2 linked regions of the Rattus norvegicus genome follow. The protein of the gene in region 1 interacts with the protein of each later gene in a biochemical or structural test. Links are inferred from orthologs where the notes say so. Each region holds a gene or a part of one and is shown on either strand. Other genes may lie near its edges.

Region 1 (6,638 bases):
CAGCTCTGAGGAGACTGTACCTAAAAGGACATGGGCAGGCATCTACCAGGGCTCAAATAACACCAAGTGCAATGTTCCTTGGCCCCCCCACCCCATCTCAGGGGAAGAAATGGTTCTGCCATAACCCGCTCTTCTGCACACATTCTCTGCTTACCAAGAGCAAGTGGCAGGTTACCAGGTATGTTGCCCAACAGGCTCTGGAGATTCTTGAGTGAAGAGGCATTGGAAGGTGGAATTTTAATCAGTGGAGAGCTAATGAATTTGCCCCCAAGCTGCTGCCTTAGGTAGGTTTAGCATTTTTTCCAGGTGATTGGAACATGCAATCTGGGGCAGCTGGCAGTCCTCAGGCCCCAATAGCCTCTGCAGACAAGAGGCTCCCTGGCCCGGCAGGCCTCCTCCATGTGACCACTGTTTGTAGCTGGCAAGACCCTACCTGTTGTTAGGACCACTCAGTCAGCTAAAGGCAGGCTGCACGCCACAGAGGCAAAGGGCCCACGTCTACTTGGAGATGCTTCAGAGGGTGTGTCTGAAGCACTGGAATTCTGCCCCTCCTATAATCAGCTGAACAAATATTTGCCCCAAAAGAGAATCAAAGCAAGAGAGAATGAATAGAAGAGGTCACAGCACAAACCAACAGGAACAATTTAATCATTTATCTCCCCAGGGAGTTCATTTACAGATTGGCTTTCAAGTCTGGCAATCCTTAGCTCAAGGGAACCCACCTCTACCTCAGCCAACTCTACGCTGGTCATCTGACCTCTACTGACAAGTGACCTCCTTGCCTTTACAAGAGCTACTGGAGGGAAGAGGGGTGAAGTTTCAAAGAACTGGGAAACTAGAGACAGGATGGGGTCTCAGGGCAAACCCAGGAGGTCTCTTGCCCCGCCCTAGACCCAGCCTAGGAACAACCAAATTCTTGACATTCCGGGAGTCCATGGTGCATGGTCCCTTCCACCTCACTTCCTTCAATGGATGACTTATTTTCCAGTCTGTCCATTCTCTACATGTTGAGGGGACAGAATACATCTCAGAAGTCGCATTCTCCCCTATTCCAGAATGGAGTTCCCTCCGAACGGTAAATGCCTACCACAGTGGTCACCAGTAAGGGCATTCTCACCTCTATCTCACCCTGGTGAGCACAAGGGTGAGCAGAAGAAAAGGCACTCACTGGTGTCAGCTTCTGCTCGCTTTATCTTTAAGAGTCACAACAGTCTGTGAGAAGCTGAGGCCCCAGAAGGTAAGTCAGCCTGACCAAGGTCACATGGCCAGTTAAGTGACAGGGTCAGGACTCACACCCACATCCAGTCTGTCACCAAATCTTAATTTCCTATGGAGCCTCACAGACCTGGTTCGTGCTCTGCCAGCAGCAAACAGTGCTTTAGTAAAGAGGCCCCAGGGCCCTGAGCAGAAAAACACTGGGCAGAGCAGCTGGAGATCCCCAACTGATCCAGGGCAGTGAGGTACAAAGTCCTGGGGCACAGCAAGGGCTCCCCAAACAAGCCAACCATGGTGAAAATGAACTTAGGGGCACAGCACAAACACAATTGGCTCAGACCACCTTCTCTAAAATCAGACAATATTCAGCCAGTCAAGCCAGTGGGGCTCCTGCCTGACCAAATGGTCTGAATAGCATGCATGCGAGCACACAGGAGCCTGGGGTTATCAGCTCTGCAGTTCCTCCAGGTATTATATTCCTCCCCCCAGCCAAGGTGACCCATTACGTGAGAGTGAGCAGAACACAGGGAGAACTTGCTACTCTCCTAGGTTTTAAGCCAAGTAAACACACAGGCTGTTTTTCTTTGCCGAGAAATTGGAACAAAACTATGAAACTGCGGGGCCACAAGGGTAGCCAGAATGAAAAATACAGGTTCCTTAAAAACAGGGTCATCAATATTCCCAAAGTTAACCCCTGGTATTAAAGTGAAGCCAGGAATGTCTCCTGAATAATCGATATCTTCAACAACCATGCCAGGAGACCAAAAAGGGCAGTTAGGGATCTCCACAGAGGAGAGACACACAAGGGGCGGACACACAAGGGGCGTGGTTCTTACCCAGCCGCCGTTCTCCTGGATCCAAGGCTCTAGGTGGTCATTCAGGTAGGTGGCCATCCAACTTGCAATCCGACTCACCAATACCTGCATCTCCTTGTCTACGCTTTCCACGCACAGTGCCCCGCCAAAGGAGAAGAAGGCCACAATGCGACCCCAGTTTACCCCATCCCGAAAGAGTTCATTCACTACCTGTTCAAAGCTCTGATATGCTGTCCCTGGGGTTATATGAAGCTGGGATGTTAGATCACTGAATGCTCTCCGGTACCGCAGTTCAAACTCATCGCCAGCCTCTCTCAGCGCTTGCTTCACTGCTGCCATGGGGATTACCTCCCGCGCATCCAAACTGCTGCTGTGGCCAGTGGCTCCATTCACCGCGGGGCTATCCGCCAGGTGCCAGGATGGGTTGCCATTGATGGCACTGGGGGTCTCCCTTTCTGGTTCAGTTTCTTCTGGGGCTTCAGTCCTGTTCTCTTCGACATCGCTAAACTGACTCCAGCTGTATCCTTTCTGGGAGAGCTTGTAGGAGAGAAAGTCAACCACCAGCTCCCGGTTGCTCTGAGACATTTTTATAATAGAGATGGGCTCAACCAGTCCATTGTCCAAAACACCTGCTCACTCACTGGGTCTGCTCTGTGTTTAGCGATTCTCTTCCAGGATCCAAAGCCAAGATAGGGTTCTGAAGAGAGAGAAAGAGCTTCAGGAGAAAATTTTAATATGCATGTCATTTACCTTACAAAATCCCCATTCCTCCCCCAGTTACCAGAATTGGTTTCTTTGTGGCTCTTATGAAGGTCTGAGTCCAGGTTCTAAGAGACTTCAATGAAGTCAAATTGAAAGGACCAGCAAGCTTTGAATTGTTTCATCAGCCTCTTTTTACTACAACCACCCACCCCCTTTTCTCCGAAATGCCTTTCTCCAAAAGTCACCCCCATTGGCACATCCCCACCACCACCACCTACATTCAAATCTATCTCCGGCGACAGAGAGCAGGTGCAGCCCCCGGAAGGTCTTTTGTATCATAGGTCGGGAGGAGGTGGTGGCTGGGTCGCCGGTAACTCAGCAAAAAACCCCGGTCCCGGCCGGGATCATGCGACCTGGTAGGCAGGCCAGAGGAATTGCGAAGCTTAGGAACCTGCCCCCTCGCTTGCTTCCTCCATCGCCCAGATCGAGGGCGGCCTCTCTGCTCCGCAGCCTCCAGCCACCCGGGAGCCCAACCCCCTCGCTCTAGCACGCCCCTTGGCTCTCGCCTCCTACTGGGAGCCAGGAGAACTCTCCCGGAGGTATGGGTTTAGTGTAATTTCCCCCCACCCCTCCTTTCTTTCTTTCTATTTAAGTACCAGCCCTGGATGAGGCTTCCGAAACCCTAAAGGGACTTCTCAGTGAATCTCAAGGTTTCGCGCAGGGACGCGGGGAGGGGGAGACGGCCTCGGATCTGCGATCTGATTTCGGAAAGACCACTCCCGGGCCTTTCCAAGAGGAGTAGGCTGGAGACCCCCCACAAACACCGCTAGTTGTCTTTGAATTCCCCAAAGGCTCTGGACATAGCACTGGGGGACTGCCAGGTCCTCCATTCCGCGCCCGGACACAATGGCCGCCGGCACCCCGCACAAAGACGGGGTGAGAGGGAGGCGCTGAGCCCCGCCACTGGCCAGGAAGAAGGGTTGAGGCTCCCACAGCGGAGACCTCGTTTTCTTGAGACCCGACCCAAGGCGGCCTCCTGGAGCCCCCTGCAGGGCTCCAGGACCGGAGGCCGCTACGCGTTGGAGCCCCGGGTGGGTGGGCTGAGGCCTCGCTTACTGCTCGCGCTCCCCTAGGCCGGGTACCCGCCGAGCCACCGCCCCGTTGCTAGGCAACCGCCCTCCCTCAGGGGCGCCCCCTAGACCTCTCTGGAAGGAGGGGTCTCGCCCCCGCGGCCCGCCCCAGCTTAGCCAATCCGCGGGTCGAGTCGGCACGGAAGCGGGACGGCCAAGGCTCCCATTGGGCGAAGCGCCTGTCAGGCACAGGGGAGGCGGCGCCCTCACCTGAGAGCCCAGCGAGCCGTGGGGGGCCACATCCCCCCTTCATCGGCCCAGTGGCTTCCAGATACGAGGGCGTTTTGCGGCTGGGAAGTACGCCGCGGACTTGGGTTGGCCTACCTGGCTGACTGCTCGTGCCGAATCTCCCGGAGAAGCCGGCCTCAGTTTCCCCTGAAGAGACCGGGGGAACTTGCAAGCGCAGTCACTTCCGGTGCCGCGGCAGCGCGCGCGAGCCCGAGACGCAAAAGGAGTGCGCGCCAGGAGGGACTGGCGTTGAGACGTGGGAGAGCAGCGCCCCCTGGCGAGCGATTTGAGGAAGCGCAGGCGCATGGAACGCTAATGGTTCACATTCCATCAATCTAGTTCCTTCATCCATCTATCCGTTTGTATACTACAGAAAAAGTGCTTTTTCCTGGGTGTCCGACATCGGACAGGTTTCCCAACTTGTGTATTTCCCCCCCTCACTTTACAAATAGACAGCAGCATTGACCTTTCATTGACTGTGTATCGATATTACTTGAAAAGTCTGAAGACTAGAAAGCCTTTGGATTGTTGAAGACGGTTATGAACGAGGCAAGGCAAGGTCTCTGTTTTTGTTTTTTGTTTTTCTTTTCCTTTTTTCGGAGCTGGGGACCGAACCCAGGCCTTGCGCTTGCTAGGCAAGCGCTCTACCACTGAGCTAAATCCCCAACCCCAAGGTCTCTGTTTTTATGAAGACTTATACCTTAGGGGTGGAGGCAATATCCAACTAGGAAAATACGCAAGGTAAACTCTAAGGGGAGAAAATCCTGACATTGTGATAATCATGGTGAAACGAGATTTGCTTTAGAGTGAATGAGTGAATGATCCTTTTAAAAATGCAAACCCCGGGGCTGGGGATTTAGCTCAGTGGTAGAGCGCTTACCTAGGAAGCGCAAGGCCCTGGGTTCGGTCCCCAGCTCCGAAAAAAAGAACCAAAAAAAAAAAAAAATGCAAACCCCGACTCTGGCTGGCCAGTGCAGTAGAAAGACATTTATTTACACCATCTCGAACTATGTAGCATATGTTTGTTTGTGAGCCCAGCCTTTAACAACTGAGCCACCTCTTCTGTCTCGCTATTATACACAGTTTTTGTGTTGCTGGGGATCAAACCCAGAGCTTTGTGCATGGTAGTCAGGCTTTCTACCGGATAACTCTAGCAGTAACTCAGTTTTTCAAAAGTTTATTTTATTTTGGGGTATGTGCACGTGAGTGTGGGTGTGTATGGGCCACCATGTTTATCTGGAGGTCTGAGGACAACTTTTAGGAGTAAATCGTGTTCAGGAGTGGAACTCCCATCCTCAGCTGGTGAGGCAAGTTCATTCTTCTTATACGGGGTCTAGTTATGTAGCTGTTTAACTTGGGCTGCCCTTGACCTTGAACTCATAGCAGCAGTTCAGCTTCTGTGGACTGAGAGCTACTGGGATCTCAGCCTCCTGGTGTGCAGATGTCCACAACGTACCACAGGCGCTCTCTTTTCTCTGCTGATTCCTGACTGTGGAACAACATGGCATCAGGAAGAAACTGCTCCTCCACACATCACCTGTCAGTCTGGAGATAGCAACTCACCGTCCTCCGAAGACGTGGCAGAATACACTGTTGGCCACAGAGTTCATTCCACCCTTTTAGGAAACCCCTTGACTGACTGTGTGGTGGAGAGCTGAGCCCGTGTGGGAGCGGACACACCAGAATTGTTTCAATCTCGTTATCTTCTCTGAGCCGCAGTCATCTCAGGTGGGTGTAATTAAACCAGCCGAAGGAGGCAGAGACTAAGAGAAATTAAGAAATTACCTGAAGTAAGAAAGATTGTGTGTGTGTAAGCAGGGGTGGCTATGAGACAAAAAAGAGAGGTGCTGGATCGGAATGGACCCAGGCTAGTCTAAATCCAAAGTCATGAACTGCTTTGGGATCTCTCTCGGGATCCAAATGGCGTGCGTGTGTGTGTGTGTGTGTGTGTGTGTGTGTGTGTGTGTGTGTGTCCTTCACCACTTCACCTCTGTTGGCCTCACGTGTTCCCCTGTTAGCAAAGAGAGCAGGCAGGTCTCCGGCTTTACTGCTATGGCCTGAAGGTTAAATGAGGGATAGGAGCTGTCCACCATCCTATAAAGATGCTTGCCCATTAGCCTGACCGCTGGACTTCCATCTTGGAATCCACATACTGAAAGGAGAGAACTAACTCCAAATTGTCCCCCCCCCCTCCAGCCCCTGATAAGGTGTATACATGCATGCTCGCACCCACGTATGCACGTGTTAGATCATGGGACCTGATCTGTCACTCCCTTCCCCTCCTGCTGCTCTATTGTAAGGCTGTTAACAGGAATTTGTAAATAAATATGCTGTTGTATTTCTTCCCTGAGCCATAGCCAGGCCCCTTAGCTTCTAGCTTTGTAAAGGTTAAGCGATGTCTCTTTCTCTCTGTTTTCTCTGGCTGTTTTGCTCTTGGTTTTTTTCTCATTCTCTTTCTCTTCCCCTCCCTCCTCCATAGCAGCTCTTTTACCCATTTACCTTAAGCTACCTCCTTAGTATTTCTATGATGGCCTCTCGTCAGCACTGC
Region 2 (4,957 bases), on another chromosome or scaffold:
GGGCTGATGCCAGTTCAGAGAAAGCCATGGCTTAGGAACTGAGGAAAGCCCAGAGAAACTGGCTGACCTGCACCCTGAGAAGGGAGTGCACCAAGTACTGGGTGTGCCTCCAGTTCCTACTGCCTGGAGTGAGGCTCCAACTTGAGGGTCACAGCTGCTGAAGAGAGGGCCTAGAGCCTGTGTCCAAGTGAGTAGGAGGCCCACTGAGGCCCACAGGGCTGATGATGGTCTGTGGGGAAGCGCTGGGCCATTGGCACTAAGTGACATCTGCCTCCCTTGCCCAGACCAGAAAGGTCCCTTCCTCCCGTCCCCAGAGCTCATGCCTGCTGCCACCATCTCCCCTCCCCCCTGTATGATCAGAGCCAGAGCAGAGTTAGCTCCTGTCCCAAGGAATGAGCCAGCTCTGATGGCCAATGTGGATCAGCCACCTCTGGTCATTGTCCTTCGGGCTGAGATCTCACCAGCCGGTCCCTTGGACTTGATGCCAGGTTGCTCCATGTCCAAAACTGGCTCTTCTCGGGGCTGGGGATTTAGCTCAGTGGTAGAGCGCTTGCCTAGGAAGCGCAAGGCCCTGGGTTTGGTCCCCAGCTCCGAAAAAAAAAAAAAAGAACCAAAAAAAAAAAAAAAAAAAAAAACTGGCTCTTCTCAGGAAGGCATCTCCTTCATGGTCCCATCTTCCTGGGAAGGGCATTGGGGCTGCCAGGTAAGGTGGAGGTGGCAGAGGGGAGCACAAGACAGCGGGAGTGGGGGTGGGGCAACTCAGAACAAGCACCTCACCCAGAACTGGGAAGTTCAGAACAATTGAAGGACACAATGAGGGCATCTGGGAGGCCAGAGAAAGTGGTCACAGCCATTGGCAGCCATGTGGGGAGGGGCACTGTTTTGGTGTCTGATGGGAATGGGCAGACAGAAACCCAAGTTCAGGTGGAGGCCTTGGTTGGCCTAGAAAGATAATGGGCCAGGCCTGGAGGAGGTATGAGGCCTAGAAGTGGGAGACCTGGCCCTCCTCCTTTGGTGTGTCTTGTGTAGCACACCCCAACACCACAGCTCTTCATGATAGCTACGCCTGCACACACAGGAGGTGACAGACTTCCCCATCAGGATACAGGCAGAAGGGGACAGGAGAGTGCAGAGGAGCTAGGCATGACCATGCAGAGGCAGGCAGATCTCTGAGTTCAAGGCCAACCTGGTCTGCAGAGTGAGTTCCGGGACAGCCAGGGCTACACAGAGAAACTCGGGAGAAGGGGAGCTTTGGGCGCCCACCAGTTCTTATGGCCCTTTTGGGCACAGGACTGGGGGCAGAGGCCACTTTAAATTCCCTCCCCCATCTACATCCACAATGTAACAGCCCCACAGAGGGCCTAAGGGGAGGCTGGCTGGAAACACTACTGAACTCCTGGAAACAACCCTTTATTGAACTCTCCACCCCAAAGGAATCTAGTCCAGTAGATTCCGTGCCTCAAGGCTTCACAGACAGGGGTGTGGCCGGCACTCCCCCCACTGGTGGCCACAGGACCAGCCTGCAGAGAGGAAGGTGGCAGGGGTCAAGAGAGAAGGGCCAGCCAGGCCTCAGGGATATTTAGCCAGTAACGCTCCTGAGGTATAGTGAATTCATTTACCTTACAAAAACCCAGAAAACCTGTATGAAATCTCAGCACTATCCTGAGTTAAATATAAAAAAAAAAAAGGGACAGTCAGAAAACACCACGGTTAGGGTGCCGGCACCTCTAGGGGTTGGGGGACAGGGGCCAGCCCTGCCCCAGCTGCACCTCACTGAAGCTGCAAATGCCAGGCCCCACCCAGCAGCAAGAAGACCAGCAGCACCATGGGAAACAGCTGCCCAGGGTCCTGGTCAGGTGACACCTGTGGGATCAAGAGGGGAAGGTTAGTGAGGCCCAGGGACCAGCTGGGGTGAGGAGACAGCGCTTGGGACTCAGAACTATGCACAGCTGGGGAAATCTGAGACACGGTGTGAACGTGGTCATTTAGCCATTCACCTCGGGGGAGCAGGGGACTTATGACTGAGTGCATTCTCTTTTAGAAGGAGGTTCCCGCAGGAGGGGCCAGAAGGCACTGTGAGTGTGCACTCGAACCTCCCTCAGTTGGCCAAGCAGTTGCTGCACACACTAGGGCTGCTGAGATGGGGCAGAAGTGCAAAGAGGTGGGGAAGAAACTAGAGAGGGGTGGAGACTGCGGGGAACTAGACAGCATGGCTAAGGCACTGCTGGCTGCCCCGTGGGAAGGATAACACTCGGACTAGAGGCTTCAAGGTTCTCACCCAGGCGCCAGGAGTGAAGACTCTCCAGGACCAGATATTTTCCCTGAGGTTGGTGAGGCTTCCAATCAAGCTTCTGAAAATACCTCTGACACCCGTCTGGCTGTAGGTGGCAGCAAGTCTGTAAGACATGATACGAACAAGGTGGGTATTATAGCCGTGGGCGCTGGAAGTGTACAAGTGTGACCCATCACAGTATGGCCTACAGAGAGCCTCTGTGCTCCTCTGGCTCTCTGCCCAGAGCCAGCTCCAAGGAGCATCTCCCACTCTGAAGGCCCCTGAGCCTCTGGGCCAAACCCACACTGCCTTGTGAGTTGGGATCTCTCCGGACTCTCCAGCTTGATCTACTGCTAAGGCCAGAGGGAGGACTGGGGGACCCGGGTGAGGGGTGAGGTCTCAGGCTTGCCTGAGAACTCACACACTCTTCTTCCAAGGTTTGCAGGGCTCCCTTGGGGCCCAGCCCTGTCTGGTTCCACTGGGCAACTGGTTACCTGTGCATAGCAATCCCAGGCAGCTGGACCAGACGGGGGCTCCGAAGACACCGGTCCATCTCATCGCCGATGCAGGCTAGCCTCAGGGCCACCTGGTTTCTGCAGGCAGGCATGCGGCAGTTAAGTGTGGTTATGCTGGGGAGGCCATACCACACACCTAGCCAGTTCCTATGGGACTCCGGACCCAGTGAGGGGGACAGCAGGGGGATACTGAGGAGTCCGCAGCAAACCTTCCTGGTGTCCCCCTATCCATGGGTGCATTTTGGAGTAAAAGCCATTTCAAATGTGCTGCTGTAGGATAAACCACAAAGTACTGAGACATTGGGCATAGGGGCCAACCTGGGACCTATGTCAGCCTGTATCCCATGTCTGCCCTTTGTGGAAGTCAGACACAAAAGTACTGGGGAGTATCTTGTGACCCTGCCTGGACGTCAGGGACAGCTTACCCCAGAAAAACACCTGAACTTTCCTTGAGAGAACCCTGGGGAGGGGAGCAAGTGTGGGTGTTTGGAGCCCCCTTCAGTTGACTTCCTACAGGTCCTCAATCTATCCTGCTCCAAGACTCAAAGCACTTGTGTTTGCACCTTCTCCAGATGGAGAGCGGTAAACCAAATTCCCAAGTGAGCCAGGCATGGTAGCACATGACTTCAATTTAAAGACAATCTCGGGCTGGAGAGGTGGCTCGGCAGTTAAAGGTACGTGTTGCTCCAGCAGAGGACATGTTTGTTTACAACCACCTATAAGCCCAGTTCCAGGGGATGCATCCTCCTCCTCTGAGTACTGCAGGCACCAGGGATGAGCAGAGTGCACAGACGTACGTGCAGGCAAGCCCTCATGCACATAAAACAAGTCTTTTAAAACAGTCAGTCTCCACTGAAACAGGAGACAGTTGTGTGATGAATACACACACTGAAACCAGCCTGGCTAAGCCCTTCCTGGGGTTTGCCCACACATTCCACACCAGCGACGCAGCAGCTCACTGGAAAGCCCCTACGGAGGGGCGAGGGCCACCTGCTCCACACACCCAGTGTCCCAGGTCTAGTCCTGATTCTGATGGTCACAAGGGTTCGAGGAACCCAGAAAGTTGCCTGGCAACCAGGTTGCGAGGTTTTGGTCCCACCTACTCCCTGGGAGACCCAGGTTTCACTTTACTCAGGAACGGAGCAGAAAGTGAGGGGACACTAATTCCATCCAGAGTGACAGAGAACCCAGAAGCTGAGGGTACACACAAAGAGCCTGTGCACAGAAGGGCTCGCCCTGGCCAGCATGGCTGCTCTCTTCCTGCTGGGAAGTGAACAGTGGGTCTCAGACCCTGAGCAGAGAGGGACCTTGATTTCCCCATCTGGTCAGAGAGATATGTCGCTAGTGAAACCAGATGGGCCAGGTTCAGGCTGCCTTGTGCTGGTCCCAACACTCAGAAAGCACACTGGAGCTCTGTGGGGGCGGGGAGCCATCTCCAGGAGCTCCCTGCCCTGTTCTCTCCCACCCTGCCTCCTCCCCTCTCCCCCACTCCTCTCTATAGAAGGAGCTGTTCCAACCCTTGTCCAGTGGAGGCCATTGGTCATTGGTCAGTCCCTACCTGCTCTCCAGGCACCTCATGAAATCCAAGTCTCTCACAGGACTGACGTCCTCAACCCCCACAGGCTCCTTCATGCTGGGAGCCCCAGAGACCACTGCAGGTTGGGGGACCTGGTCGTGTAGAAGAGTCTTGATAATGTCTCTGGCCATTAGTCTCGCCTCTGACATGTCTTCTGTGGGATAAAATAAGACAGGGTGTGACTAGATCCCCAGAACGATGCAACGGTGGCTACTCGGGCTCAGAACAACAGACCATAGTAGGTGCTTGGCACATGGGGTACGAGAAGCCCCTGGGGCCTGCAGGGCCTTGGTGTGAGTGCTCCCAGCCCTCCCCAGAACCAGTCACAGAAACCAGAGGCTTCCACCCAGGCTGTTCACACAAGCTGGACTATCTTTCCCAAAGCAGGCCACAAAGCTTCAACAAGCTTCTGGTCCTCTGTTCTTGTCCCTTGAGGATCAAGAAGTTTAAAGAATCTGAATAGACTGGGTTCGGTCCCCAGCTCCGAAAAAAAGAACCAAAAAAAAAAAAAAAAAAAAAAAAGAATCTGAATAGACTCCCCACCGGCCCCACCCCAGTCTGTCACAGAGTGAGCTAATGCTGTTTGTCCAGCCA

What was found.
Region 2: the proteins of Bcl2l1 (region 1) and Bik interact in a test that uses a peptide from one of them, tested with the Homo sapiens proteins (3 studies listed by BioGRID and IntAct, with this or other methods). The link is inferred for Rattus norvegicus from reciprocal best matches to the Homo sapiens genes BCL2L1 and BIK.

The regions. Positions count from the first base shown.
Region 1 is NC_086021.1:161,760,524-161,767,161, forward strand, and holds the start of Bcl2l1 (bcl-2-like protein 1), read right to left. Parts: upstream 4,253-6,638; 5' UTR 4,187-4,252; exon of another isoform or gene 2,812-4,186; intron 2,746-2,811; exon of another isoform or gene 2,728-2,745; 5' UTR 2,616-2,727; coding exon 2,052-2,615; coding exon of another isoform or gene 1,761-2,051; exon of another isoform or gene 1-1,760. UniProt on the Homo sapiens protein: Potent inhibitor of cell death. Inhibits activation of caspases. Appears to regulate cell death by blocking the voltage-dependent anion channel (VDAC) by binding to it and preventing the release of the caspase activator, CYC1, from the mitochondrial membrane.
Region 2 is NC_086025.1:116,567,756-116,572,712, reverse strand, and holds the end of Bik (bcl-2-interacting killer), read right to left. Parts: intron 4,518-4,957; 5' UTR 4,513-4,517; coding exon 4,346-4,512; intron 2,866-4,345; coding exon 2,767-2,865; intron 2,397-2,766; coding exon 2,279-2,396; intron 1,864-2,278; coding exon 1,771-1,863; 3' UTR 1,396-1,770; downstream 1-1,395.